4 linked regions of the Drosophila melanogaster genome follow. The protein of the gene in region 1 interacts with the protein of each later gene in a pairwise test. Each region holds a gene or a part of one and is shown in the gene's direction. Other genes may lie near its edges. The genes, in order: CG6843, tou, Sec24AB and Bdp1.

Region 1 (5,871 bases):
ACTTCTACTATCAAAATAAAAATGTGCTTATCTGGCAAGCGGCCTCCTCCGCGTTTCCCTCAACTGAATAAACTTTATCAGCAAAAAAGGAAAAAAAAAAGAACAAAACTCGAAAAATACGAATACACACATAGTAGTGCAGCAAGACTTCAGCTGGTTAGCACAATGGAAAATTAATAAATAACAAGAGCATCATTAAAATGCGATGCTTGGTGTTACGTAACACCAAGCAAGTTCTAAACACCATAAAAATATCTAAAAATTCGACATGGAGAAAAAACACGCCTATCAAATGGGGACTACAACTCCGTGTACAGTACCATTAACACTATGATCTATTTAGATCCAAAGGGTATACTCACCAGTCTCCTTCATCATTTTCTCATCGTCGGTGAGAAAGGTGAGGGGTGGGGGGAGACCAGTTGCCGAGGACATCGCAGCACTTTGCTGACGTGCAGCGTTAGCCAGCTAAAAAGTTAATTAATAAAGAAAAAGGAATTAGTTGTAGGCATATATGTATGTATAAAGGTGTCGGTTAGGGGGGCGTGGCCAACTCACCATGCGCACGGGCAATTTCTTTAGGCTGTTCATCATCTTGAATGAAGTGGAAGAATTGATTTAATCAAGAGGCCAAACTGGACTTTTTTGAATTTTGGATCTGATCCCCAGAGACACCACAACGTTAAAAGTGGGCTGCTCACACGCGACTGAATTTCCATTCTCCACATATGTGGGGATCGTGGACCATAGGAAACCTGTTGCTGTTGGCGAAGCGCCATGTTAGTTAACAGCGGGCTGTATTTCGTTGAGCTTTTCGGTAACATTCTGTTAGTGCGGATGATCAACAGATGTTACTGAACTTTCTTCAACGCTGGTAAAAATATGAATTCAATCACTGAATTGCTATTGATTCTATTAAAACTATTTGTCTATATTTTTTATATTACTTACATATCTACTTTATTAATGGCCTTTCGTTAGATCCTTGATCTGTATTTCATTTTTTACAAAGGTATTAAGAACCGTTATTAAATTATAACTATCAGTATGTTGACATGTGAAAAATATGCTTTTAAAACGTAATAAAAACGTTTAACGAAAATTTAAAATTATTTTTATTTTTCACGAGTTGGGAAAAATTTAAACTGGTTTCCAATTGGAAAATATTGAATTGTAACAGTGAAAACAAGACCACGATTTTAGCAAAGACACACTCCCTTGAAGTGTTGCAAAGCACATGCTTTGAATTTGACAGTTCACGACTTAGAGATGACAGTGTTATCGATACTAGCTGAATTAAATTAAACAGTTACAGGAAGACATAAACAAAACAGTAAATATTTAAACAATTTCATAGGAAAAAAATAAGCGTAGAAGAAGGAAAATGAGCTATCAAAACCATTTATAAACGTAGAATCCAATGCTCTTCACCCCTGACAAGTACAACCGATAACATCGTTAACTATCGTTACGAAATACCACCTCCAGCACTGCCTCTTTGCCATCCCTAACCGCGACCCATCTGTCAAATTTCTTTCTTTTCGTTGATTTTTCGACGGTGAGTGCGTTTTCGTGATTAATTTCGTTTTTGGCCCGGCATCCCCACATATTATGCCCCATAAACAATGAAATCGAGCAGAGAAAACAACGCACGACTCGTTCGTGCAATTATTGTGAATTTCGGAGAGCCCGCCAATAAAGCAGTGCCTATTTTTTGTTTACAGCCCGCACAAGCAAGATGAAACAGAACCCGTTCGTGTCGTCGTCGCGCAGGAAGAACCGCAAGCGTCACTTCCAGGCTCCCTCCCACATTCGCAGGCGCCTCATGTCCGCTCCCCTCTCCAAGGAGCTGCGCCAGAAGTACAATGTGCGTTCCATGCCCATCCGCCGCGACGATGAGGTCCAGGTGATCCGCGGCCACTTCAAGGGCAACCAGGTGGGCAAGGTGGTCCAGGCCTACCGCAAAAAGTTCGTCGTCTACGTCGAGAAGATCCAGCGCGAGAACGCCAACGGCACCAACGTCTACGTGGGCATCCATCCCAGCAAGGTGCTGATCGTCAAGCTGAAGCTCGACAAGGACCGCAAGGCCATCCTGGAGCGTCGCGGCAAGGGTCGTCTGGCCGCTCTCGGCAAGGATAAGGGCAAGTACACCGAGGAGACCGCCGCCCAGCCCATGGAGACCGCGTAAATCGCCGGCTAAAACTCTGCTCTGGACAACTGGGACGTCGCTGTTTACTGTTTTTACCGTAACGCTTAGTGTAAAAAACAAAACATCTGAAAAAAATCGCGTGTGAAAACGGCGCCATTCTTTACAATAAAGGAAAGTTGATTTTCACAAATGGATCTGTTGGCTTATTTCCCTGAATGAAGTTTTAGATAAATGTGCCGGAAAACCGACGTAGCTGAGAAGTTTTGGAGTAGTTTAAAAAGAGACGCTCTGCTATTTGTTTTGCAAAGATTATTGATGTTTGATTACTGCCCGATTAGATTCTGTTTCAGATATAACTTATACTGCCATCTTCTCCATATTTTTGTTACTCTAAAAGTTAAAACCTTTAATTGACTTGCATTAGCTTGAAATAGAGTTTTCATTGAATTTGGACTTATAAAATGCTGTATTTGGCATCCATCCATTCAAATTAATAGTCAAATGATTGATTTAAGTTAAGCTTGTAACCAAAAATCCAAAAATAGCAGATTTAATACGTAATGGCTACTTACATGTATAATCGATCGTGTATTCCTACTATACAATCTTGATAAGCATCAACAGCAAACTTTCAAAGCTATTTAACTTTCCCAAAGAGTTTCATTTTGTAGGTAGAATAAACAGAACAGACCGATTTGAAAAACAGCCAATATTATTAGGATAACTAAAGAAACCAATATACGTCGGATTTCCCCTATTTATATACCCACTTTGGCAATAACGAATTAAAGGTATAAACGAATAAAGGTATTGTTGGGGATAAACTGATAGGTTAAGGAAGAGTAAGAAACGAGTATTTTTTTTGATAAGAAACAAAGTGAAATGCTTTATTTCACGATTATCTGTGTCGTTAATGGAAAAAGGCACATAGTTTACACATGTACATGAATTTGGGATATGTATGTTATTTTCATTATCTCAGAATAATATGAGATTGATTTTGTCATTTGCTCATCTGAACTGCGAGCAATACTTGTTTCACAGCACATGTTAATTTTAACAATTTGGCCGTGGAATTGTTTTTTTTGGTTATAATAACGAGTATAAGCCCCGATAAAATGTTTTGGTTTTTGTTCTTTGGCAGTGGGAGTAATTCTTGATGAACACGAACTACTGGCGCCTTGAGTATGGCCTCCTGTGCTCGTAGGGAGTGGGACGAAGATCCGCGCGAGCCTTGGCCTTCCGCGGCTTCTTCTCCTCCTCGTAATCCTCGCCAAAGTGACGACGTTTTTCCTGCTCGATGAAAGCCCTTCGCTGGGCGGGAAACAACCCATTGGGCTCTCTCACTATGTTGGCCCTGGAACAGTAGACCTGAGGATCGTAATCGGGCACACTCTCGTCGTCATCCCAGTTCTCCTCGGACTCGATCTTCGCGTGTCTGGTGTCTTCGCTGAGGACAGCAGGAGCGCTGGTCTGATAGTGTACTATAATGTTTCGATCCTCGCACGATTGGGTGTGTTGCTACGTATGCAGAAAGCTGGGCTTTAATAGGACATACAAGGTAACTACTACGTATATTCTGTACTCACAAAGAACTGGGGCTCTGGTATCAAATGGGAACTATTGAAGGGACAAACCATAAGTTCCACCGTGTCTTTGTAGATCACACGGCATTTTAAGATGTGCTGCTGGAGCTTCTTGCGCAGCATTTTGTGCTCCTTGTTGTACGGGCAATAAACCATATCGGATTCGTCGTAGTTATTCATCATGAAACAAAACCTAAGGTTTCGAGTTGCTTTTAAAATGTATTCGTAAAATACAAACAGTCCGGCAACGCTTTATCTACTTGTGTTACTATACCGATAATGAAATGCGATACTTTTCTTAGCCTATCGATAAGCGCAGTCAAAGTGCCCTGATATCGCAGCTGGAAAGTATTTATAAAAGTTGTATATTGGTTATTTGTTTGCAATTTGGTAGCGAAATTGCACAGCAGCAAGATGGGCAAGGGCTTCAACAACTACATGTGCAAGAAATTCTTCCACCCCGCCTCCAGGGACAACTTGAAAAGGGTAAGTGGCTCCGGGCTCCTGATGAAATATGTTCTTCCCCAGCAAAACGCCTAAAACTATAGGGATTACCTTCTGCAGGTCTGGATGGCGGAGCAGCAGGCGGAGGCGTACAAAAAGAAGCAGGAGGAGCTACGCAACCAGTATGAAAAGGAGCAGAATTTGCACGAGAACAAGGCAATGCTCAGCAAGGACAGCAAGGATAAGCTGAGCGTCAATTTCATGTACGAGCCACCGCCAGGAGTGCGAAAGGAGCGCGAAAAAGATGACAACGAGCCGGAGTACAAGTTCGAGTGGCAGCGAAAGTACAACGCTCCTAGAGAGTCGTACTGCAAGGGCGACACCGAGATCAGGGACCAGCCCTTCGGCATCCAGGTGAGAAATGTGCGTTGTCTCAAGTGCCACAAGTGGGGCCACATCAACACGGACAAGGAGTGCACCATGTACAGCATTTCCATGAGCGAGGCACGGAAACTGCACGCAGAAACAGAGGCCAGCGACATCATGGCCAAAAACGTGCTGGAGGAACAGATGAAGGAGGATGGCCTCATGATGAAGCGATCGGCACAGGAGCTGCAGAGCATAAGGGCCATTCAACAGCAACATCAACTGGTGCCCAGCGATGGCGAGAAGGACGCTCATGCCGATGACCAAAATCCCGAACTAGTTTTTCTCAAATCCCTGTCCAAGAAACAAAAGCTAAAGCTGTTGAAGAAACTGGAGAAGATTGAACGAATGAAGCGCAAAGGCGAGGGCATCAAGAAGCCCACAAAAAGGAAATCAAAAAAGGAAAGGCACGAAAAAGATAGCAAGAAAAAGAAATCCAAGAAGGACAAATCGAGCAGAAAAGACAAAAAGGGCTCAGTTAGCAATAGCTCAGACTCCTCTTCATCGTCGGACAGCAGCGACTCCGAGGACAATCACAAAAGCAATCACAGGGACGACAAAAGAAATGGACATCAAAGGACTAGGGACTCGGATCATAGCTACCAACGGCGGAGCAATGAAAATAGGCATCGGAGAGATCGATCCCGCTCCAGAGATCGCTCGCGATCGCTTAGCAGAGACCGAAGAAGGGAGAGGGAGCGCAGAGATCGGTCCAGGCGGTAGAATTAGTTTTGTAAAACCCACCAATAAATTTTTATCAATTTGTATCGTCATATTTAAAATTCTAATTTAATTTATATTTCATTTACACGATGAAGTATGGTGCTTTTTCGTTTTTGAGGAACCAACTAGTTTTTAAAATCATTCATTAGCTTTGCTATAATTATTTATTTTGCCAGCTTGTGATATACATATCTTAAAAAATTTATTGGGTATTAAGTGGTGCTTTTAAATTGCTCTAGATTCGGGCGAGTTGAGCAGTTGTCGAGGATCCGGCGGAGACGCAAAGTTCGGCGCCGTGGTTGCTTCCACCCTCCCGGGAAATGCTCTTCACGTGGATGTGGCTCTTGAGCATTGCAGCACGAAGAACAAGCATGCGGGTATGACGCTGGTACTGCTTGCCCATGATCAAAGCCCGCTCAAAGGTGCTGTTCCTTTGATCCGCCTCCTTGGCGAACAGGATCTTATTGTGGGAGTCAATACGCGCCTGGATCTGTCCGTCTAATATCAACTGCATCACCTCGTTCTCCAGATCGCCCACCGACG
Region 2 (7,425 bases), on another chromosome or scaffold:
GCGGCTCTTGACTTACAGCCGAAATGGAAAACTTCTGACTCGGGGAAGAAGCACCAAGGCCACGTCCAGCAGCTTGGACTCACAGCACCAGGATGCGGCGACCACGGAGGGTGGAAGAGCGGAATCCGTAGAGGAGTCCCCGGAGCAGCAGCGAAAACTACCAACCAGAGAGCCGCTGGCCAAAAACTTCTTCATCGGAGTGGTGGACAAGGAGCTGCTGGCCTATCCGGAGGTGATTCCACGGGATGAGATGGCCCAGCTGGAGAATTCCCTGCTGCCGCTGAAGAACTACTTTGTGGAGCCACGTGAAACGGAGGAGACCTCACCGGAGACCCTCCGCCAGCTGGGACTCTATGGGCTAAATGTGTCCACAGATTACGAGGGCAAAGGCTATGGCTGGAGTGCCAGTCTAATGGCCAGTGAGCCGGATTCAACGGATATCAATGTAACCCTGGGCCTGCAAACGCATCGCGTGGTCGTGGATCTTCTGAAAGAGGTTGGAACTCCGTTGCAACAGCAGAGGTATCTCCAGGACTTGGCCACTGGTAAACTGATAGGTACCGAGGCTATATATGAGATATCTCCACCCGAGGAGGATTACTTTAACACCACGGCAGAGTTGTTTCCCGAATACGGAAAGTGGCAGCTCAATGGCGAAAAATCATTCGTGATCTGCACACCCGGCGAGCGGCAGCTTTTCCTGGTTCTGGCCCAAACCCAACAGCCGAATGTTCCGGGAGTTTTGGGACGTGGCACCACCATCTTTCTGGTTGATTCCCAGCAGGAAGGAGTGCGCCTGGGCGAAAAGCACGCCACATTCGGTTGCCGGAAAGCGGAAATTAGGCGTGTGCACTTCGAAGGCGTTAAGTTGGGAGAGGATCAGGTGGTGGGCCTACCACACGATGGCAACCGCTATTCGGAGCAGCTGGTGCGATCCTCCCGCTTGAGGGGCAGCTTGGTGGGACTATCGCTGGCCAAGAAACTGCTAAACGAATTGGCCCAGTACACTGTGAACACCACTCAGTGCGGAGTACAACTGCAGTGAGTACTCTTGATTTCCTATAGCTATATTTTATATAAAAATATATTTACTCAATTATAGAGACCTGGAGCTCACCCGCATCCATATGTCGCGCGCGATGTGCTCCGTTTACGCGATGGAGAGCATGCTCTACCTGACCGCCGGGTTGCTGGATGAGTTCCGTGCCCAGGATGTGACTCTGGAGAGTGCCATAACAAAGTACTTTACCCTGCGACAGGTGTACGCCATTGCCTCCCAGAATCTGGGAGTCGTGGGACCCAAGAGTCTGCTCAGCGGTGAGACCACGGAGCTGGGACTACGAGATGCAGCGCAGCTGTGCACGCAAGGTGAATCCCTGGACACCTTGGGCATGTTCATTGCCCTCACCGGATTGCAGCACGCGGGGGTAAATTTCTTGTCCATTTGATACTTGTGTAATGGTACTTAAAAACAAAAATTTTTTTCAGCAAGCCATGAATACGGGCGTGCGAAAGTCCAGAAATCCACTCTTCAATCCTGGTCACATTTTTGGTAAATTCCTGGACAACAACAGCATCGACAATCCCAAGACCAAGATGCAGCTTTCGGAGCACGTGCATCCCTCCCTTGAGGCGGCTGCCCAGTGCATTGAACTGTCGGTGGCGCGTCTCCAAATGGCCGTGGAGCTGATGTTCACCAAGCACGGCAACGCGGTGGTGGAGCGTCAAAGTGAAATGCAGCGCCTGGCGGAGGTGGGCACCCTTATCTATGCCATGTGGGCCAGCGTGGCGAGGGCATCCCGATCGTATTGCATTGGACTGCCGCTGGCGGATCATGAACTGCTCACGGCCACAGCGATATGCTCGGAGGGCAGGGATCGCGTCCGCACCCTCTGCACGGAGATCTATGGCGGTCATTTTGTGAACAACGACAACAACCTGGTGCGACTCTCCAAGCAAGTGGCCAAGAGCAAGGGCTACTTCGCTGTTCATCCGCTGACATTTAACTTCTAAGCCAAGCTGGTAGTTAAGTTTATTATTGCCTTTACGATTAAAGTGAATACTTGTTATTGATAATTCGCATGTGTTTAATCTCGTCTTGAGGGTTCCAAAAGGTAAAACACATTTGTGGATTATTTTCCGGGACACAATTTGACAACTAGTTTTTATATTTTATATTTCTAATAATTCACGCAAATATTAGCCAAAAAAAAAACTAAATAGACTGATTGACGCAATTGTTCAACATATTTTTAAGTAGAACAATTTTCTTAAAATCCCCCTAAGCCATCACAAATAATCCAGCATTCTGGGAAATCAGCGTGAAATGTCTTAATCCGTTGAGTTTACCACCTGTCCGCCTTTTCCGCTGCACTGGGAATTGGATTTGCATTTCGTTTAAGTGGTTGAACTGGGCGAATTGATAAAGAATTGACAATTTGCTAAGCGGCGCAGGAAGACGGCCAAAAGCGGTGTGAGTGTGTGAGTATGCGGTCTCTTCGTTCATGAACGTGTGTTAGCGTGTGTGTGTGTGGACAGGTGGTAAAATAGCCTGTACTGTACTTTCAACGTAAAGCAGCTAGCTTACTTAGAGTACTCAGTCAATATCGGGTCAATCAAAATGTGGTTAAAGGTTTTGTCTAAACAAGCGCAGAATTCCTAATAATTTGGATGACTATTAAATGATTAATAGATAGAACCGTGTGCAAGTGTGCGTGTTTGTTTGTTTGTGCCCACAACTACACAGCAAGATTTGGTTTCATGTCCACTTGTTTCGCCGCCACGCTCTCGCCACTGTTAGTTAACATAGCTCTGCCAGCGACTAACATGCACTCACACTCGTGCAGCGGCAGCACTGCAGGCAGCGAAAATCGAAGAGAGTAGATTCATAAAAGAGTATCGGTTTCTCTATCGAAGCGTTCGGACGTCGAAAAGATAAACCCCAATTTAAATCTAATCCATCTGCGAGCAAATTAAACAACAATAATGATAGATTCTTAAGCGGCGCGCACATACGTGTCTTATTAATCGATTTTGATGTTTAAAAAATAATATAGAAAGTTGAAGTGAACTTGCAAACCTCGCGAATAGCTGGAAATTTGCGCGTGTGCGGGTGGAACAGTGACACTCGTGTGAAAATCATCGCTAAGGAAAAGGCGGATAATATAAAGGAAAAACGCCCGCGGCGAAAATTATTCCATTGGTGTGAGTGTGCAAAAAAAAGGAAGAAATATCAAGAGCAAAGAAGTTCGAGAAATTGCTAAAAATTAAGTGTGTTTGTGCTTGTGTGAGTGGGTGACAAATGAATGGGCAGCAAAAAGACGAGAAGTCAATCAGCGATAAGCAGTTTAAACAAACAAAAAAGGTGAGCTAAAATTTAAAGCTAAATCAAACTCATTTATATGTAATACAAAGTGTATAAATATAAAGTTCACTGATGAAAAATTAAATGATTTCACCCTTAAAATATTCCCGTTGAGTTCAATACAACACCCCCGCCCCCTTTTATCAGCCCTCCCCACTCCCCTTCCCAATTTCAACCGCAAACAAATAAAATAGGCAGAAAACCGAAGCGGATAAAAAAGAGGAAGAAGCGAAAGAAGTAGCGTCGCCGATTTCAGTCCTTCATTCCATTTCATTTCGTTCCACATGCTTTTGCTGCCCCTGTGATGTTGTAGTTGTTGTTGGTGGTGCCTTTGTTGTTCTTGCTCTTGTTCTTGTTCTTGCTGTATTTCGGCGGTGACAGTGAGCGTGAGCAATGAAGGCGGCGAACGGCGAACTCTGGAAATTGCCACAAGCAGTGGCACACGACGCGGCCAACAAACACACACACACGCATGCGAGCATACTCTGCTGGCCAGAGCAAATACAACATACAGTGGGACTTTGTTTGGGCGGACAGCATGGATAGTTGAAATTAATATATTCCTTTTCAGTGACAACTTAAACAAGAATCTACGTAAAATACTTACTTTTTGCACCAAATAATTACCATTTTTAGCAGTTTGTAAGAAAATGAAATGTTTATAATTCCACTAATCTTTTGAGTTTGCAGTGATAACCGTGTAAATTGAACTATTACAATCTTTTTTTTATTTATTAAAACTATTTTTTTATTTATTAAAAAAAACACAATTTCTATTGATTCGATTACTGATAAGTACTCTATAGCGATTTATGTATATTTAAGCAATTAGTGCTAGAGATCAAGATGAATACATTTATTTTAAATGAAAGATTCAGGTTAAAGAACTCTTGATGACAAAAAAAAATAAATATTTTAATTTACGAGCTTTTAAATTTCACATACTAATCATATAGCCATAAACTAAAACCGGGGAATTTTGAGTAGCCAATCTTTACTGTACTCGCACGAATACAGTGACAAATGCAGGGGGCAGCGAAACACGACAGCGACGGCGGCAGAGGCAAAGACACCTCGAGGAGTCAACTCACCTCTCGAAACCGATTCCTCTGCTTCAATTTTTTCTTTTATTTTCCTTTTTGCGCTCATATTGTAGTTTAATTTTTATTTTATTTTTTTTTAGCCCGCCCTGTCCGCATGTGTTATGCGTGTGTGTGTGTGTTGGGTTCACACAAATACAATTCATCAGCGGCAGAGAAGTCGGCGTCGCTTGTTGTTTTTGTTGCTGGTGCTGCTATTATTTGTTGTTGCTGGTTCTGCGCGCTTTTATTTGAGATTTGCGCACGAATGGCTTTTGCTTTTGCTCTTGGAGTTGTATATAAATTGTAAAGCGTGTGGGGAAGGGGCAGCTGCAGAAGGTGGAGGATGAGGGGCTTTCAGGCTAGTTTCGTTCTAGAGTTCGCGAGCACACAAACACGCACACACAGTCACGTACATACGCTCGACAGAAATACGGGTACACAACATAGAGAAAAAATAAGGAGAAAAAAACAAGACTGCAAGTGGATTGGGCTTTGAATTTTGTTTTGTACACTTTTCCCTCGGCCCTGCTCCTTCGTCCTTCCTTCTTTTGAGTGAATTTTTCACCTCCTTCCCTACCCAAATACTGCTATTCCTTAGCTTTCTTGGCATATTTCGCAATTTCCCCTTCGCATGTTAATTGCCGGCGTTGAACTTTTAGTTGTTAATCAATTTGGTTTGGCTGCTATTTTGCCTCTTTTCACTTCTTTGCGTTGTTTGTTTTACAAACACACATGCCGCTGGTTTTTTGTCTTTTGTTTCAAATATAGCATTTGATTCGGGAAAAACTACAATTATTTCTATAATGACAAGCTTAGGATTTTAAGAAATACAGTTCACTTACTAAATTGGAAATACATATATGCCGGTTTAACTCAAAATAAATGCAACTTATCGCGAGCATAGTTTATATAAAATATATTAGTAATTAAGAGAACATACATACATACATGTACATATATGTAAGAACTGTTTAAAGTTTATGTTAGATTGATCTATTTATGCTAAAAGATTATTAATAGCCAAAGTTAACATTAAAGTCATGAATGCAATTGTTTTGTTTGCTTGCAAATCAATTAACTTAGCTAATCAAAACATTAACTGCGTCTATTCAGGACTTCTTCATTTGTTTGATTGCAATTTCCTCTTTGCATTTCCGATTCCCTTTTTGGCCAAAAAATTAAAAGAGGTGCCAGCCGCCAGATGTCGCCACTGTTGGCTGATTCCGGCTGCTGCTGCCGCTGCTTCTTCTACTTCGCTCTGCTTTTACTCTGCCCGCAAATCGATTTCGATTTGGTTCCGTCTCTTTCGCACACACCCTCGACTTCTGGCTGTGTGTGTGTGTGAGCAATAAGCTTAACATAAATCATTATAACGGCACATACAGGAGGGACCTTACATGTCACCCCAACCCCCAGTCCCCCCTTGCGCCCACAACCGCCCATTTTTCTGTATGTCTGTGTTTGTATATTTGTTCGTTTCGGCTGTCATTTCATATGGAATTCTATATGGGAACGCACAAAATCGATTTCTAATCGTGTAAATAAATGGCGACAAATGCTGCGACCTCTCACACTCGTCAACATGCTCGAGCTCTGCCTTCTCTCCTTTCGCATAGCAACGAAAAGCAGGAAAGAGGGAGGAGAGGCAGAAGGTTTGCATGGGCAATTGTTTCAAAACTAAAAGTTGCACACTGAGAAAAATGCTAACTACGTAACTGCGTTTAGTTATCGTGGCCAAATGGGAAATAAACAGTGAAGACTTTCAATCACAGAAATTTAAGTACAATAAATATGTGAATACCATTTATTATAACTAGAAGAAAGAAAGTATGTAATTATAATATAATTTATAAACAACATTGGTAGATGTTTTTTTCCTGTGCAGTCAACAGATTTCTGGTTGCACCTTGAGTTTTTTCGATGGCAAGGAAATGGGGAATGTGAGGCTGGCCAAAATCAAACAGGATTCGAACCTAAAAGGTGAGAAGTGTTAAGGAGGCGAAGAAAGGCGAGAAGAAGGCCTAAAGGAGGAGCAAACAGTAGCCACAGTCACTCTGCTTAAATGCCAGAGATAAACGAAAGGACTTCGGAAGGAGGACTTCCTGAAATTCGGATTCCAAAAGCACACAAAAACCTACATAGCAAACAGTAGTTGCTCCCAAAAAATCAGCAACATGGGCTTAGGCAACTCAAATATTTTAGATGGGTTATATGCACATAGGCGCATATATATTTTTTGAAAGCGCAGAAACGTGAATACTCTTTCGCAAAAAATAAGAAAAGTTATGTTGAATACATAAGTTATATTTTGACATTCTTTTAATGAACTAAACCCAAAAAAAAAGAATGGAAAATAAAAAAGTATTTTTATAAGCTGGAATTAATACGTTTGAGACCATAGTGATAATACCCAGCGAATGCAAAGCAATAGAACGCAAATATCTGAAAAGGGCTTTACATTTTGTCAGTTGATTTTCGGGTAGTTTAGTAAGGAGGGGGTGGGGGGTTTGGGCTGATGAACAATTGCATTTTGAAATGCGCACACATTTTATTTGTTTTGCTGCTGGAATTTTGGGGTCTCCCCCCTTTCCCCCCATTGCAAACACAATTCAAAGTGGCAGCTAAAAGTGGGTAAAGTAAAAAATCGCACGCCAGAAGTTCGTTGGTTGCATGTGATTCTGGTGGAGGGGTGGAGGGGGGGAATTATCTCTATACCTCTGTCTCTTTCCGATTCTCTGGGGAATCATCGATGGATAACACAAAATTGAATTTACTACTGTGTGCGCTGGCTTCGTTTGTGTTTTTATTGCAATTGCTTCGCACGTTTGCAAAATATTGGCAGTAATTGAATTTATAGGGGGAGGGGGAAGGGGGTGGAATAGCAGGGGGAATCGGGCGGGTCAACACTATCCAAAATTGAAATGCTAAAGATGAGTGAGTTAACCTACCTATATATACTTGCAGGCCCGCTTTTCCAGC
Region 3 (10,409 bases), on another chromosome or scaffold:
AAGACGCTCAGGAGGTACGCGACGGTCCAGTGCCTTGGTGCAGGCGGGATCAACTCACCTTTTTAGCTGAGCAAGTGTCTCACCATCCGCCAAGTAATACAAAGAAAAAAACAAGACTTTATTACCTCTATCACTTACGCATTTATTTGTTTCAGTTTCTGCCTTCTATGCGGAGCATTATAATAAAAAAATAACATTTGCGGCCCATGTATGGACCAAGTCGAAGTTCTTGGGACTCTCCATTGGAGTTCATAACATTGGTGAGGGTGTTGTGACCCTGGTGGATCGCAGCGAGGAGTACATAGTGACCTTCCCCAACGGCTACGGCAGGTGAGAACGTGTCTGTGGTATTTCCGGTTACAAACAACTGAAGACTATTTCCATTACCAAGGTCTATTCTTACGGTGCCTTGGATTGAGCTCGGCGGTTCGGTGGAGATCAAGTGTCCACAGTCTGGATACTATGCCAACGTGGAGTTCCTCACCAAGCCATTCTATGGCGGCAAACGGAACAGGGTCTCGGCAGAGGTGACTAGCTCTGAATGTGTACATTTGTTTTCTTTTATTAATTCGGATAATCCATAGGTCTATGCGCCGAGCGAAAAGAAGCCTTTCGTCTCTATTACGGGCGAGTGGAGTGGTTTGATGGAGGCCAAGTGGCATGATAAAAACGTAAGTCGTCCAAAATATGTTTGGTTTATGTTTGTAGTGTACTATTATATATTGTTTCTGTAAATGTTGATCCTTTACTTGTACTTTTTCCTCCGCATACTGCGCCAAAACGCTGCAACAAACAACCCCACGAGTTGGCAGCCACATCCACCCTTCACACCCCAACTAGACCTCTACTTACTATCCACGATTCTTCTGCTTTTCTCTTAAATAGCTCGGGAGCATTTCCTCTGTGTGTTTACTTTGTTTGTCTAGAAAATCGAACCCACAAATTAATCCTATGCCTGATTGTCCAACGTTGTATTCAAATTGTTGCTATCTGTACTTATATATGATTGCTGTGTGTTTAATATTACACCCAATCCCAATCAGTTGACCACATAGTGAATCTGAATGAATCTCTTGAATTTTCTAGAAAACCGAAGTATTCGTCGACGTAAATCGCATACCCATATTTAAGAAACAAGTTCGACCAATCGTTGAGCAGGATGAGTACGAATCGCGACGCGTTTGGAAGGAAGTGACAGCGGGACTCAAGTAAACAGCATACCAATTAATTCCTGACCCCCAATTGCGAGTCATGATAAATGTAATCTCTTTGTTCGTTGCTCTTCCACAGGTTCAATGACATCGAGCGCGCTACAACTGCCAAATTCGTTGTGGAGCAACAGCAGCGTGATCAAGCCAAGGTGCGCAAGGAATACGATCTGGCCTGGGAGCACAAGGTACGTCATCCCGATATAGGGTAAAACAGTTAACAGATAATATTCGTTCACAGCACTTTAAGCCCGTGGGCGACAACTGGATCTACGCCAAGCCGCTGAGTCAGCGCATGTATCTGCAGGAGAAGGAGGCCAAGAGATAATGCCTCCGACTGACAACGAGAGCAACAACACCAAAAACGTCTATATATATGGATCATATCAAGAACGAGCCTCAACTATATGTTTAATTCCACAAGTGCGCAAACCTCTCAACACTGACGATACAACGTAACGAATGCAGGAAAAGTTAGAGCAACAACTGAACTGGCAGAAGGAGATCCATGATGGAGGCTCCAGGGTCTGGTTATTAATTGTAAATAATATACACAGAGAAAAAGAAAGGAGTAAAGCTCTGCTCATTAGGTTGGAACGCGAGTCAAGCTCGACAGCTCAGCGGAGACAGAAAAATCAAACACTCACAGTTTCTATACAGAATTAACGATTATTATTTACTACTAAGTACTAGTGTGTTTCAAAGGCAATCGCAGTAAACTGCAACACAATGACACCTATTCAATACCTTTTACATTACTAACATTTACTAACTAGCAACAAAGAAAGAAATCCAATACATAATGGGATATATCAAAAGTTGTAGATTACAAAATGATAGTTACTTAAGGATAATAGAGATTCTATTTTTGAAATAAAAGACTCTGCTATAGACGAAATACAATACCGACACGCTAGTATCCGACAGATACTGCACCCTCGCTTCTTTCCAAGACCACAGGACAGACACACGGACATAGAACACACGGTGCACAATGATTTTCCAGTCGCATAGCTTATAAATCAAATACGATTACCTTTAGTATTATGTTTCGAATTCCACTTGTCACAATAATAACAATAAAGCTTTACCAAGAGTCCGCTGGTGACACACCTTTACACCTTACTGCAATAGAACCCAATTGAAAACCGAACTCCTAGACACGTTGAATAATAGACATTAAATTTAATTTATAACTTTATAACTTACGAGCCAGGAAGCAACACCACCCACACAGCAAATCTACCGACTACTCTCACGCAAAGTTAACGCAAAATGAAACGAATAAAGTAAATACGCTTCGAAATTGATTTAAAGTAATATTTAACGAACTAGTTACCCCGTAGAATAAAAGAATTGTAATCCCAATGGCATTAATTGGAACTTATATCCAAGCCCGGGGAAACTTGTATATATTTTTGCGATTTTCTTTTTAACCAACGTGTTAATTGAGAAATTGAGCTACTCCCAAGCAGATACAAATATTGCAAATAAAGCGATTTGTTCTTTAAGCAGTTTTAATGGATTTTGGATTTCGGGCTTACGAACATTTAAGCTCATATCATTAACAGAGTTATATATAATATACATTGCTTGTCTTCACTTAATAAACATTGCGTTAAGTTTTAAATTTGAATTGTTACAAAAATAATGTTACCATTGGTATCGATAACATTTTATTTGCAATCGATAGGCGACCCAGAGCACTGTCATCTCTTTTTTAAAACCAACGGTCACACTATTGACGTGGCCTCAAAATTTTTTGTTCTCCGGAAAATGCAAAAAGTTTGCATTTAAGTTAATTGTGCATAGCAGCGTACGACGCCAAGTCCAAAGAATCCGCCTGCCAATATAGGACGTGTTCGCATCCATCCGGAGCACGCGAGGAGCGCTTGAAATCGTGTAAGAAAGAAACTAGTGCGGAAGGAAGTTTTGGGAGTGGAGAGAGCGTAGGGAAGTGCGAAAATCGTTTAATTTTCGTTCGCGGAGAAAAATCCAGCCAAGGATTTCACAAAAGACCAGAACAAAGAGTACAACCAGTGGTTTTTACAGCTGCATCCGCCCTTTCCTCACAACGAAAGGCGGAAAAGCTAATTCATAGTCCGCAGCAAAATCGCCAATCAAGGGCGCAAGAAGAAGAGGCAACTACAAAGTGCAAGTGCTGGCCGAGGAACTTCATGCCAATGAAAACTGAAGCTCGGGAAGGTGATAAGTGATTGGTAACCGTGTTATGGGCACTACATATGCCTTGATTGCCCCAATTTCTTTGAGTGGGTGGTGGGCGTGGCGGGTTGACTTCGCCAATAGGCACGTCATCAAAAATTTGCTTTGTTCCGGAGACAAATCCTTTCTCTTCCTGATTGCTTCCACTGCATCTGGGTCACCAATTTAACCGACCCACCTTCTGCGATCATTGATGGCGAGGTCAAGTGCTTGAGGCACGCACACTTACACGTTGTACATCACATAATAACCCATAACGACCTGCTGTCGAAGCTGTTTAAACAGCAAAATATGATATGAAATTATCACCCTATTTCCGACTTACTGTTGACGTAGACACAGTTCTGTAAACACTGAATCAAGACATTTACCTAGGCAGCCAGTCTAGCTTAAAAGTTTGTGATAAAGCTCCAATAACGCAGAATTTCGCATTCCATTCGATCACTGCAAATTCTAAACTGTCTGTAAGCGGGGAAAAGCATCCCGCTTTAAAACTTTACAACTTTTATCAGCCGCACATTGTTTCATGTTACGCGCTTTTTAACATTGAACGATAAGATAATTCCCTGTTTCATGTCGGCAGCAACGCAACCTTCGCTAGTGATAAGATAGCAACTAAACAAAATGTAATTCTTCATCTTTCAGACCACAAACCTATGAATTAGCAGCATGTCGACTTACAATCCGAACTTCGTGCCTCCCGCCCACGCCCCTATGCCACTGAACGGAAACAATTTTGTGAATGGTGTGCAAGGAAGCGTCCAGCAGCAGCCAGGTCCTCCACCTGGTCAGCAGTATATACCACAGAAGCAGCCACAACAGTTCCAGCAACCACCTCCTGCAGCAGCTTTTCCGGGAGCAGGAGCGCCAGGTAATGTGCCACCGCCGCAGCAGTTCAACAGTGGTATTACGAACCAGTTCTTGCCGCCCACGTCAGGAGCAGCTACACCTCTGCAGCAACTGCCGCCCAGCACGCTGCCGCCCCATCTGCGTCCGCCCGCCGCCAACGGACCACCCCTTACGAACGGCAGCAATGGGGCGTCCAGTGCGAACTCTTCGCGCACTGCATCCCCAAGGCCAGTAGGAGCTGCCCCTCAATATGCTCAAGGACCAATCGCTGCAGCGTTGAACAATCCGCCCCTGGCGTCGGGACTGCGTCCTTCGCCCCAACCGACGCACCAATCTCTGGCCAACTTGACGAGCAATCTGGAAAATCTTAACTTGAATACCACTCGAGCAAATGGAGGTACCAGCATTTTGCCACAACCCCAAACCCAGCAACAGTACGCACCCACAGTAACACAAAAGGATGGCAGGGGAGTGGCCTCGGCCCAGACGGGTCCACCGCAGTTCAACGACGCCAACAGTCTGTTGGCGGCCAGCGGAGTGGCCGCTGCACTAGTTCCCAATGCCATGGCGACGCCGTTTAGTGGACAAAAGCCCCCCAATTTGGCTCCAAATCCGGCCAAAATGTTCGGAAGCGCCTCGATGGCCGGTAGACCAACACCAGCGGGGCAACGAATCCCATACGGAGTACCCCCACCAACTAACCCCGAGCAGCAGAGCCAGCAAAACAACAATCTACAGAATGCACCGCCGCCACCAAGAGTAGGAGCGGTATGGCCGCCGAGCTTACCAAATGTAGCGGCGCCGGGAGCCCAGCCCATGATGCCGCCAGCCCAGCAGACACCACAGACGTATCCATACTCCCAGGTTTATCAACCAGGACCACAGCAACAGCCACCACCTCCTCAGTCTGCAGTGCAGCCACCGCCGCCGGGAATGTTCGGAACGCAACCGACTGGAGCTCCACTGCAGTATCAGGCACAGGCGCCTCCTCAGGCTTACGGACAACATCCTCAGCAAGCACCCCAGACTGCACCCGGGGGACCTTATGGAACCACTGCTCCACTAAACGTGGCTCAGCAGGGATTCAGCAGATTGTGGGGACAGGATACTATCGACCTTATGCAGAATCGGCATATCTTAACGCCGGCAACGTTGCCTCCGCCAAAAGTGGTTTTGCACAACCAGTTTCACGAGTCCATAAACTGTAGCCCGAGCATTATGCGCTGTACGCTGACCAAGATTCCCGAGAGCAACTCTCTGCTCCAGAAGTCACGTCTGCCTCTGGGCATTGTGATACATCCCTTCCGTGATGTCAATGTAAGAATTTTATTGAAAATAATTTGATATAAAAGACTTTAACTTGGAATTCCTCACACAGAGCCTCCCTGTTATTCAGTGCATCAACATTGTGCGTTGCCGGCTGTGCCGCACTTACATAAATCCCTTCGTTTACTTCGTGGACAGCAAGATGTGGAAGTGCAATCTGTGTTATCGAGTCAACGAATGTAATTGAAAAGAGTTCCCAGCATATAATGGATTTAGTAATCCAATGTTTCTTTCTTCGTGCAGTGCCAGATGACTTTCAATTTGATCCGGCCACAAAGACATACGGCGACGTAACCCGAAGGCCCGAGGTACGCTCTAGCACCATAGAGTTTATTGCTCCTTCGGAGTACATGTTGCGGCCGCCACAGCCGGCCATGTACCTGTTTCTCTTCGATGTCTCGATAATCGCGCAGCAGAGTGGTTATCTGGAGGCCGCATGCGCCGTACTCAACCGGCACTTAGACGAGATGCCCGGTGATGCGAGGACCCAGGTGGGATTCATTTGCTTCGACAGCTTCGTGCACTTCTACAGCATGGCCGAGGGGCTCAACCAGCCGCACGAAATGACGCTGCTGGACATCGAGGACCCCTTCCTGCCACGTCCTGATAGTTTGCTGGTAAACCTAAAGGAGTGCAAGGAACTGGTGCGTGATCTATTAAAGCAACTGCCTAAGCGGTTTGCCCACACCCACGATCCGGGTTCCGCCTTGGGTGCTGCTCTGCAGGTTGCTTTCAAGCTAATGGTGAGTTGAGCTATTCAAAATTAAAGAGGAACCTTAATCATCGTGAATACTGTATACAGCAAGCGTCCGGCGGACGGATAACCGTCTTTCAATCGTGCCTTCCCAACAAGGGACCCGGAGCCTTGGAGCCGCGCGAAGATCCCAACAACCGCTCGGCAAAGGACGTGGCCCACCTTAACCCGGCAACCGACTTCTACAAGCGCTTTGCCCTAGAGTGCTCCGGCTATCAAATAGCTTGTGACCTCTTCCTGATGAACCAGCAGTACAGCGACATGGCAACCATTTGTAAGTGACTCTTAGTAATGTAAATTCAAACTGCCTTTTTGCATTAAGTTCTCTTACGAGTAATAGAGCACCGTTAACTTATTGGAGTTTCAATTTCCCTATAGCTGGCATTAGCAAACATAGCGGCGGCTGTGTACACCACTTCCCGCTCTACCAGAAGACAAAGCCACACATGGTAGAATCGTTCCGCTCGTGTTTCAAGCGCTATCTTACCAGGAAAATTGGATTTGAGGCGGTAATGCGAATCCGCTGCACTCGTGGCTTGCAGGTGCATACATTCCATGGAAACTTCTTCGTGCGCTCCACGGACCTGCTCTCGTTGCCAAACGTGAATCCGGATGCTGGATATGGCATGCAGATCTCCTACGAGGAGAGCCTCACGGACGCGAAAACGATTTGCTTCCAAGCTGCGCTGCTCTATACGAACAGCGAAGGAGAGCGCCGAATCCGTGTGCACACCGTGTGTTTGCCGGTTACCGCTTCGCTCCCAGAGGTAATGCATTCAGCCGACACGGAAGCTATTATCGGGCTGCTGTCGAAAATGGCGGTTGACCGGTCGGTCGCCTCCAACTTGTCGGACGCCCGCGATGCATTCATAAACGCTACGATCGACGTGTACAATGCCTTCAAGATAGCACAAAATCTGCCATCGGGACAGTCGGGTCAGCTGATAGCGCCGCGCAGCCTGGCGTTGCTCCCGCTCTACATCTTGGCCCTGCTTAAGCACGTGAGTTTTTTGCATATGATCTTAGTTATCACAGCTTATTTCGGTTTTCCACTAGCCCGCTTTCCGTGTGGGAACTAGCACACGACTGGATGATCGGGTCTACGCCATGGATTGCATGAAAACGCTACCGCTGGACCAGCTAATGAAGTACGTGTACCCGGAGCTGTACAAGATCGATGCGTTGATCTACCACGCCCGCAACTCGAACATTAGTTCGAACCAGGATGACGACGAGGACGAGGATGAACCGTTGCCGGAGCTGCCGCGTCTTCAATTGTCCGCGGAACAGTGAGTAGAGTTGATTTATTTTTGACCTTCGATAACGAACGCTTTAACTTCAGCTTGGACTCTCGGTCAATATTTCTGATGGACTGCGGAACGCTGATAATGATCTATGTCGGCCTTAATGTGCCGCCCGATGTTTTGGAAGCTGTTCTGGGTATGATCTTAAAACCCAACCAATTTGTGTTACTAATCTGTTTCTAATTTCAGGCATCAGCTCCACCGCAGAACTGGGTGATTATGTATATGGATTGCCAAATGTTGTGAGCAACGAGAACGATGTGCTGAAGCGTTTTATTTTGCGACTCAACTACGATAAGCCCTACTCGGCGCTGGTGCAGATAATTAGGTAAGTCGGACCACTATTAAAATATTCATAATACCTTGCTAATTATTTTATCTTAAATTAAAGGGACACGAGCACGGCCAAGGGCCAGTTCACCGAGAGATTAACCGACGATCGCAGTGAATCTAGTTTGTCATACTATGAATTTTTGCAACACATTCGGGCTCAGGTTAAATAGTATATAAGCAGGATATCCTACCACTATTGTATGCAGCATAAATACGAGTTTCTAAGAACCTAAAAACTCAGACTCTGGTGACTAGAAGCACGAAGCGAATGCAGGTGACACTGGTGCGAAACAATGGAGACCAGTTCGGGACAGACATACACTTGATACACCTTAACCACCCATCCCCTACCCACTCTCTCGGCTTAGGTAATTTTAAAGTGCATGTATTTATTTATTTGTTGATTTGTTGCACTAAAAATAAAATAAAATAATTGAAGATCATAGTAAATGCGAAAGAGCCAACTTGTCACAACAGAAACTAAGATATCGTTGCCAGTTCGTTTAGGGCGAACATTAGTCAAAAGTTCAGCTAACCAGTCAGTAGAGCTCCCGAAGAAGTGGATGGCTCCGTTATTTATTATAGAAACTATGCAATAAACCAACGAAACTGTTGTACATTATGCTTTAGCTCGATTTTTGTTCGTTCCAACTGCTTCAAACATTCTGCAAACTTCTCAGCCCCACAAATTGTTATCGCTTACCCCAATTGTTTGCTGTTTTCAGTAGTATTTATTTTCCGGAATCCAGAGAAATCTATATTTATTTATAAGTGTAAGGAAAGGCGTTTTGTTGCACTGTAGTTAGCGAACTTATTTCAAACGTATGTACGGATTTGGTATTGTGTATTGCATTCATTGGACTGCTAGGCAGTGAATGTCTTAAGCTTAGAAGGAATATTATACTGTATCAATAAAGAGACCCCATCCCTGTACCTCAGGTGGCGCAGTTGTCGTTCTTTGAGTGGGCTAACTAATCGAAAAACCATATACAAATACTGTACCATACTTTATACACATACGAGTACATCAAGATATAAAGCGAAATAAATTTTAATTAAATCATAAGGCAATGCGTTTTATTTTCATATGTACAGGCACATCTGTTGTTCCCAATATATCCCAATTTAGTTTTGGGAAAGACCTTAATTAAATTAACAATCATTTACAATGGATAGATGATGGCGCATAAGACTCAATAAATCGGTCAGCCCTTCGCAAGACATATCCTGGTTCTATGTTCCTCTACATAAAACAGTTGTCAGCGCCTAGCCAGAGATTCCTGCAAAAATATCAACTTTAATAATGGACAAATATAAATTGGGTATCTGGACTTACGGATTGAAGAAGGGGGAGCGCGGCGGATACTTCCTCTTTGGTGGAGGACACAAGATGGGATCCAGCTTATAATCGTTTGTTGTGTCTAGACTTCTGGGAGAGTAGTGCTGCCAATCTAAGGACTTCTCATCTGGTTGGTAGCCATCGGTCGCGTGCTCAATCTTCACGTGTACCTTGAGATGATCCTGGAGGAGGAATACCTTGTCGCAGAGCTGGCATTGAAAGTGTCCCTCTGTGTTGGGCACATGGGCTTCATGGTATCTTTTATAGTGCTGGTGCAGTTCCAGCGAGGATCGCATCGTGCGCCCGCATATATCGCATGTTTGACCAGTGCTCACAGGCTGCGGAAAGTGGGTGGGGAGGTGTTCGTCCAGCTTCTCAGTGGCATCAAAAGTCTGCTCGCACAGCAGACAGGAAAGTTGCACTTCAGCCAACGCCGTTTCCATTATCTATTTATTTCACATGCAACTTGTTTATTTTTATGTTAGCTTAAGAATATACGAATGGAAACTCTCTATATTTTCAATTCATCAACATATGAACTACTCGCATTACGGTTCCTCGCTCTCGTTCTTTTACTCCGTTATTTACACGTCTTTCTTTTCATTCAACATCCAGTCTATTCGATGCGCACTTAAAAGTCACAAGTGTTCCATTCGGTTACAAGAAATCAACTGTTCTTTTCGTTCTCCTCATACTCATTGTGAAAACAGGAGAGAGCGAAGTGTCATATCAGTGTTGCATGTTTAGCCTCTTTTAGCTATAACAAAAATTAGCTATTGTGGGAAGTGTGAGTTAGGGCAGATATCGATCAGCGCTGGCTCGACAAGTTCTCGAAAAAAGGGCGCAGTCTAAAACAACAGCACACACACTTTTCTTTTGATATGAAATTGGTTCAATTCTGGTGGTACAGTTAGCATAATATTCTTTTCTTTTTAAACCTACCCAGCATTATGTAATCGATTTAGGAGTATTTATAGTAAAACGAATATAAGGCTTGCAACTTAGCCGAAAAATGTGCGATCATATTTAAACCGCTTCCAAATCTGAAAAGAAGAAACGTGAACAATAAATAT
Region 4 (7,362 bases), on another chromosome or scaffold:
TAGAGCGACAGGAGAACGCTCCTATACGCAAAATGTTCAACATAACTGGTAAGTTAACAATTTTTGCTTAGTTTTAAATTAAACGATACATTTACAGGTTTTCCCACCCTGATTTACTTTGAAAACGGCAAGCTGCGCTTTACATACGAAGGAGAGAACAACAAGGAGGCTTTGGTGTCTTTTATGCTCAATCCAAATGCCAAGCCAACGCCAAAGCCCAAGGAACCCGAATGGTCGGCGGATACCAACTCGGAGATTGTCCATCTCACCTCGCAGGGTTTTGAGCCCGCTCTGAAGGACGAGAAGTCCGCCCTGGTCATGTTCTATGCACCCTGGTGCGGACACTGTAAGCGCATGAAACCGGAATACGAAAAGGCCGCTCTGGAGATGAAGCAGAAAAAGATTCCCGGCCTTTTGGCTGCGTTGGATGCAACGAAGGAGCCGTCAATCGCAGAGAAATACAAAGTCAAGGGCTATCCAACTGTTAAGTTTTTCTCGAATGGCGTCTTTAAGTTTGAAGTAAATGTACGCGAAGCATCGAAAATTGTTGAATTTATGAGAGATCCCAAGGAGCCCCCACCGCCTCCGCCACCCGAAAAGAGTTGGGAGGAGGAGGAGGACAGCAAGGAAGTCCTATTTCTGGATGACGACAACTTCAGTTCGACGCTGAAGAGGAAAAAGCATGCGCTGGTCATGTTCTATGCACCCTGTAAGTTTTGCCGCTTGATTGTTAAACATATTTAAAGCTCTACTAAAGACTAACCGTCTTCAGGGTGTGGACACTGTAAGCACACAAAACCGGAGTTTACAGCGGCTGCCACGGCCTTACAGGATGATCCTCGGATAGCGTTTGTCGCCATCGACTGCACAAAGCTTGCCGCGCTCTGCGCAAAGTATAACGTACGCGGATATCCCACCATTCTGTACTTCTCTTACCTCAAAACCAAGCTGGATTACAATGGCGGACGCACCAGCAAGGACTTTATCGCCTATATGAACAACCCGCCTACCTCAGCGGACCGCACAGAGCTGTGATACGCTGTTGCAAAGTATAACGATGCTTCTCCCACAACACTTTGCAATCTCACTTTTTGTATTACCATAAACTGTATTCGTTCCGTTCAGTTTACAATCAGCTTGAATGTCGTCTAGACTATCGAATATTTTATAGAATGTATGCGCATTTTGTAACTATATAGCATACTAATAAATTATGTTATAACTAATAGTATAATTTCATTTTTACTGCGCTTATCCCTCTATAATAAAATAATAAAATTTAATTAAAAATATAAATTAGTATGTTAAATACCATATCAGATTAGTGTAATCCTCTTAAGCCAATTTGATTTGTATACAGTGCACGATAAGAATAGCCGAAGTTCGGGTGAGAAATTGTAATTGAAAAAAGGTAATTCAAGATAATGCTTGACCAATTATTTGATAAGCACGAGTGTTACTATCTGGTGTAGATAATGTTATGCATGAATGAAAATTAATGCCGTAAAATATCAATAGTTATGCAAGACATTGCTTTTTTGTAGACTTCAGTCTCTGGGTGTCTATTTTCGTTTCTTTTATTGTACAATTAATTTCAATAATTTCTATTTGCGTTTAAAACAATTTCTAAACTTAAAATATTTTGGTTTAGCCATATAGCTAATATAGGTATATATTTATTTTTAAGTTTCTCATCAAAGTGGCACTCATGTTAAGAGCAAAACTTCCACCTATTGCACACTTGCTCTGATGTTCAATGGTTTCGATTTCTCTCGCCTGAATTTTAAAGCCGATCGAAGGGATGAACATAAGATGGAACTGGGCTTTCGGATGGTTTGATACGTGGCTCTGTTGGGCAGGGAGGTCTCATGGGAGCGGGAGCAGCCAGGTATATAATGGTAAAGGAGTTAACGACCTGCTTCGGGTTTACTATTGACCTTGCGCCGGCTCAAACTGCCCAACCAACTGCCGCGTTGCTCATTAGCCGTATATTCGTCATTGATAAGCGCGAATCCGTGAAACATGTCCTTCATCTTGATGGCCCGTGAGCAGGCGTAGTTCTTGGTGGCCACGTACATCTTGGTGAGGAACTCGGGCATTTGTTTCTGAGTAACCCAGGACTTAATATTCTGCGGTATGGGTATGCCCGGATCGTCGAAGTACGTGAGGACAAAGTGGAGGCCTGGCTCATGGAAACCGCGAAAGGGCTTGATGACCATCAGGCTCCAATAGTCAGTGACGCGAACTTTTCCAGACAACGCCGGATAGGTGTTGTGCGTGGCTCCGCGGTTGCAAATGAATATCAGCTTCTTGTTGTCGTCTTTTATGTAGCGGCGACAATAGACGTAGTCGCGATTGGCGAACAGTCGTGGCCACTGCATCTCCCAGTATATCAGATGCGAGTTGCTGCCCGGGACGGGATCCTCGCTGATGAGCTCAAGTCTTAGGGCCGTGTCGTCCCACTGGCGACGGTAATCCAAATCCGTTTGAACGTGGAGGAAGTCGTCCGCTGTGATGTCGTCGAATCGAGCATAAACCTGCAAACGGAAAGGCGGCATAAAAGTGAGCCCTAAAAAACTTTTAGATGGCCTCTTACCTTGTATGAGTATAAGGAGGAGCGCTCCTGCCGCCGCCAAATGCTGAATTCGTTTTTGCTAAAGTACGGCTCCCATTTTTGGTCGTCCTGGGCCTGAATGCGTACCGTTCCGGCCGGTGCATTGCGCACGTCCAGATCCAACGGTCGCAGACAATTGCTGATGCTGGTGTCCGGATCCGTCTCCGCCTCTTTGCTGGTGGACGGCTGGGATTGGCCCTTTTTGCAGCGCTGGTTGCCCAGCTGACAGTAGCAGTATTTCATCTTCTTGGCCTGGCAGCGGTCGCACAGCTGATTGTTGGGCAGGGCGTTGATAAACTCAATATCCCGGCGGCACAGATCAAAGTTGGACAAGGCCAGGCGCTCCTTGTTCCAATCGAAGCCATCGCTACCCATTCGCTTGATATTCAGCCCGACGAGACCCACTGCACTCATCACCATTCCCCGCAGCGGAGGCTGCAGCTCCCGGCGGTAGTAGGCGCGCCATAGCTGCTTCAGACCCTGAGTTCCATACACCGACTGGTAGAAACTGAACAACTGCTGAACGCGACGCGAGCGCTGGGCGAAAATCGACTCGCATTGGTAGCTCCAGGCACGCAGCGTTTCTCGGGACTGGTTCTTGATGGCCAGTACAAATCGATTGAACAGCATGCCGGCTAATTCAATTTGTCCGTCGGCCGCCCGCTTGCATAACAACCTACTCAAAAGTGCGGCGACTTCTTAATGCTCCTTCGCTATTACTGTGCCCCCGCACACTTGGCACATTTGTCGCCAGAAAACTTTGGGAATTTAGTACTTCTAGCCAGGACACACCCGATAGGTTTGCCGGAAGCGTTACTGCACGAGAGCTTGGTTAGGATCTGGGCGGACTTATCATGTTTGCCCGATTAGAAAAAACGTGCAACTTGCAATTTGTCTGCTGCTTCTGTTGTTATTCCGCTGTTGTTGTTCCTGTTGTTGTGCCGTTACAGGCAGCAGTGTTGGAAAATCGCAAACCGCCTGCTGAGAGGTGACAGCTACGATCAGTGATCACACTTTTCTGCAACACTGAAACACAAATAATATTAAATTCAACCAAACTTTTACTGTGTACAAATTTTTGACGTGAATCTGGTGAAGTGTGCCATAATTTATACCAATTTATTTTTGACACTGCGAATAAATTTACTTGACATGCTTTCTAATAACGCAGTTATCTCGTTTTTTTTTTATTTGTTAAAAAATCTTTTGGGTACTGCAAGTTTTTTATAGCCATTTTGAAACTTTAAATAAATTGGTTGTCTACTTTCTTACATGGCCAGGACACTGTGAATGCTCTTTGGCGTTAGCCAACACTATACTTGGGAAACTCGTGGTTGCGGCCGCATTGTTTTTGTTGCGCAGATTTTGATTCGATTTGATGTGTGAAACTGCGGTTGAGCCTGGAAGAAGCCTAAGAGTACCCAGGCAGGATGTCCATGCGGCGCCAGCGCATCAAGGCTCCGGCCAACCTGTCGCTTATCAAACGCAAGCCACGCAGGGAGGAGCTCCCAACGGCGAAAAAGGAGGATGAGGAGGAGGAGGCGGTGGTGGTGGAAGCAGAGGCTGAGTCCCCGCCCGTTGCATCGACCCCTGCTGCGGAATTGGAACTAGAGGCTGATGCAATCGCCTTCAAGATGCCCGCAAGCTCGGCTGGGCAGCTGGAAGAGGTATTCCACTCGGACCTCGAGGACAATGTCATTCAGATGGACTTGCAGAAGACCACCAATGGCTTCCCTATGTCGCCCAGCAAGGCTCAAGCCCGTCAGCGTGTGCGACCCACTCCGGTATTTGGCCAGCGACGCAACAGCTTCGTGGGCTCACCCATGGCCAGTGATTATGAGGGCGACTATCAGTCGCCAGCCACGCCCACGCGGCGAGAGCGCTATCTTAGCGGTTCTTCATCGGGAACTCCTTTGCAGCAGCAGGTGCACTCGCCTATGCCTCCGTCCCCCTATAAATACCTACCGCCCGCTAGTCCGGGCATGGGACGCATTCGCACCGAATCCACCTGTTCCACCTATTCCGAAGGAGGTAGCAAGCAGAGGAAGGGCGACGATAGGTCGCAAAGTCAAATTGGACAGCGGTTAAATGCCCGGCGAGACTTTGAAACCCGTTTCAATAAGGGTGTACCCGACAAGTCCACGTTCAAGATGATGGACATGATCTTCTACAATCCGGAGAACAATCCCATGGTGCCCAAACAGTCGGTGACGACCATCAAGGATGAGTCTGGTGGCGATGATTCCAAGCCCGCAGTCAGTCAACTATTGGAACCCAAGGGAGAGTCCACATCCGCTATGTTAGTGCCTCAGCTAAAGCTTGATGCCAATGGCGAGATGATCATTGATGAGAAAACATTGGAGATCGAAACCACGGCCGAGGTGGAGGCCCGCAAGGTGCTAGCCAACTCATCGTTAATCCTAATGGACGAGACTACGGGTGCGCCGCAGAGTTAATACATAAAAGTTGAATACTTAACGAATTTTATACTTTGCAGGAGATAATGGATTCTATAAACGCCACAAGCGCACGCCATACTGGACCTCCGATGAGACCGTCCGCTTCTACCGCAGCCTGCAGATCATTGGGACGGACTTCTCGCTGATGTGCCAAATGTTTCCAACACGTTCACGTCGGGATCTAAAGCTGAAGTACAAAAAGGAAGAGCGAACCAATGGGCAGCTCATAAACAAAGCACTCCTCTATCCTAAGGCCTTCAACATTCAGGAGCTCAAGGATCAACTGGAAGAGGAGGACCGCGAAAGGGAAGAAAATGATCGCAAGTGGAGGGAAATCGCACGAGCTCTTCCGGGAAACCCTAAGAAGGTAAATAATTTGTAGCTGACTGTAATCACCATTACATTTTTTAATTATATTTAGCGTTCCCGAGTACAGCAGCAAAGCAAGGCCTCAAGGGCACTAAACGATGGTGATGTTGTCTACGAAAACGAGCACGTAACGAGTACAAAGCTCGGCAAGCACGCCTGGGCCAAAAGGCGAAAGGAGTTGGAGACCGATGAGAACGACGGAAGTGCGCCGGCCAAACGTAAGCCAAAGGCTAAGCGACGATCTCCCAAGGTTTCAGTTCCAGCGGCAACGGAAAGCCTGTCTGATGTGGCGGCCATTAAGCAGGAAAAAACGATCAAAACCGAACAAACGAGTAGTCATTTGCCAACGGGGGGAGAACTGCAGGCTGAGCTCAATGGCCTCCTCATGGATGATCCGGTGGAATATGACGTAGATGTAAACAAGCCACGTGATAAAACTATTATCAATATGGATGATGGTACCCTAAGCTATGTCAGCGACGTCGAACCCGCCCCAGAGACGCCCAATCGAAAGGCAGAGACATATTTAATAAACTTCATTGAAGACCAAGATCATGAACTTATAACGCCGGATGACCCCATTCCGCCGTCCACTACCGAACCGGATATCGAACAAATTCTCGCCGAGCTTGCGGAAGGATCTCTGGCTCTCGTCTCGTCCTTGGATCCAGAGCACGAGGATCGTGTGCTCAACGAAATCTACATGCTGGACAAAAAAACGGGCGAGTTGTGCGAAACGCCTCTGAAAATACCAGAGCATATTGTTCAATGCATAATGAATGTTATGCAGCCAGAGGACTAACGACATTTTATATTTATATCTTAAGAGTATTTGTTAACAGTTATAATTTATTAAAGCATTTCGCTAGATGTATTTACAAAATTACTTTCTTGTTCCTCGCAAATTCAAAGGGAATTGCAAAAAATGCAAAAATGGGACTGACTTTCTTGGTTTCTTTAACTATTCCTAAAAAAAATTGTAATTAATATACAATTATAACAGATTTGTCAAAATAGTCTTATTTTATAAATAAAATAGGGTAGCAAGAAGGCTTTTAAGCATTAAAAGTGTTTGGTTATAGGTATCTACTCTAGACAGGATCATTTCGATTTCTTGCAATAACAAAAGCTTGTATAAAATGCAAAGATAGCCATTGCTTTTGTATAGAAAATTTAAATCAAATATATAAATATTTTTTGAATTTCCATTCATTTCAGAGTTGCCGTTCTCTAAAATTATTTTTCGCTTCGCAACACATATTTTCAGGCGCAGGGCTTTAGAGCACTGGACTTTTGACAGCTGTTGTTGTTGTTGCCTCGGCTGCGGTAGCAAATTAATACAATTTAACCAATATAGTAAAAAACGATGGCCCAAGTTCCCTTGGCAATCGTCTCGCACAAGCGCCAGGTGTGCAGCCTGTACAAGCGAGCACTGCGCAACTTAGAGTCGTGGTACGACCGACGGTGAGTGCACTCGGCGCAGAATTCCCAAATATTATATAATGAGCAAGTGCATCTTGGTTGTTTCTTAATGCCCATCAGCAATGTCTACCGCTACCGCGCTGTGCAGCTGCGTGCTCGCTTCGACGAAAACCGCTCCAAAGATCTGGGCGAGGGCATCCGCCTCCTAGCCTGTGGACAAAGGGAGCTTTTCGAGACAAGGCATTTCCAGCCCCGAAACTGTAAACAAATTGAACGTATGGTCATATGTCTGTGTATCTAACGTGTGTTATCGTTGTAGTTGCCAACAGTGCCGGTGGCTGTGCTTTCGAACGAGAGGTGATTCCGCCCGACTGGGTCCTGGACTACTGGCATCCCCTGGAGAAGGCCCAGTACCCCGAGTACTTTGCCAAGCGGGAGCAGCGCAAGAAGGAGTTTGTGACCTGGTGGGAGAAGCAGTACGGCAAGCCCGACCCCAAG

Evidence for each region.
Region 2: the proteins of CG6843 (region 1) and tou interact in a two-hybrid assay, tested with the Drosophila melanogaster proteins (one large-scale study listed by BioGRID).
Region 3: the proteins of CG6843 (region 1) and Sec24AB interact in a two-hybrid assay, tested with the Drosophila melanogaster proteins (one large-scale study listed by BioGRID).
Region 4: the proteins of CG6843 (region 1) and Bdp1 interact in a two-hybrid assay, tested with the Drosophila melanogaster proteins (one large-scale study listed by BioGRID).

What each region holds. Positions count from the first base shown.
Region 1 is NT_037436.4:18,897,582-18,903,452, forward strand, and holds CG6843 (uncharacterized protein), read left to right. Parts: upstream 1-4,012; 5' UTR 4,013-4,149; coding exon 4,150-4,221; intron 4,222-4,299; coding exon 4,300-5,328; 3' UTR 5,329-5,371; downstream 5,372-5,871. Other genes in the region: CG3902 (uncharacterized protein), read right to left, coding at 363-468, 559-594; RpL26 (ribosomal protein L26), read left to right, coding at 1,739-2,188; arx (asterix), read right to left, coding at 3,320-3,670, 3,739-3,891; CSN1b (COP9 signalosome subunit 1b), read right to left, coding at 5,564-5,871.
Region 2 is NT_033778.4:11,611,518-11,618,942, reverse strand, and holds the start of tou (toutatis), read left to right. Parts: upstream 1-2,897; 5' UTR 2,898-3,364; intron 3,365-7,425. Other genes in the region: Egm (enigma), read left to right, coding at 1-1,041, 1,103-1,427, 1,489-2,013.
Region 3 is NT_033778.4:9,874,884-9,885,292, reverse strand, and holds Sec24AB (secretory 24AB), read left to right. Parts: upstream 1-2,935; 5' UTR 2,936-3,110; exon of another isoform or gene 3,111-3,897; intron 3,898-4,076; 5' UTR 4,077-4,100; coding exon 4,101-5,597; intron 5,598-5,658; coding exon 5,659-5,785; intron 5,786-5,849; coding exon 5,850-6,349; intron 6,350-6,408; coding exon 6,409-6,634; intron 6,635-6,738; coding exon 6,739-7,361; intron 7,362-7,416; coding exon 7,417-7,649; intron 7,650-7,702; coding exon 7,703-7,800; intron 7,801-7,853; coding exon 7,854-7,992; intron 7,993-8,055; coding exon 8,056-8,167; 3' UTR 8,168-9,061; downstream 9,062-10,409. Other genes in the region: CG1513 (uncharacterized protein), read left to right, coding at 1-93, 156-330, 392-527, 585-671, 1,087-1,208, 1,291-1,396, 1,450-1,536; CG12744 (uncharacterized protein), read right to left, coding at 9,241-9,277, 9,334-9,779.
Region 4 is NT_033779.5:13,370,386-13,377,747, reverse strand, and holds Bdp1 (B double prime 1), read left to right. Parts: upstream 1-3,923; 5' UTR 3,924-4,044; coding exon 4,045-5,053; intron 5,054-5,111; coding exon 5,112-5,440; intron 5,441-5,494; coding exon 5,495-6,244; 3' UTR 6,245-6,321; downstream 6,322-7,362. Other genes in the region: CG9302 (uncharacterized protein), read left to right, coding at 1-48, 98-709, 773-1,035; CG6565 (uncharacterized protein), read right to left, coding at 1,908-2,537, 2,597-3,244; ND-B22 (NADH dehydrogenase (ubiquinone) B22 subunit), read left to right, coding at 6,809-6,906, 6,985-7,124, 7,184-7,362.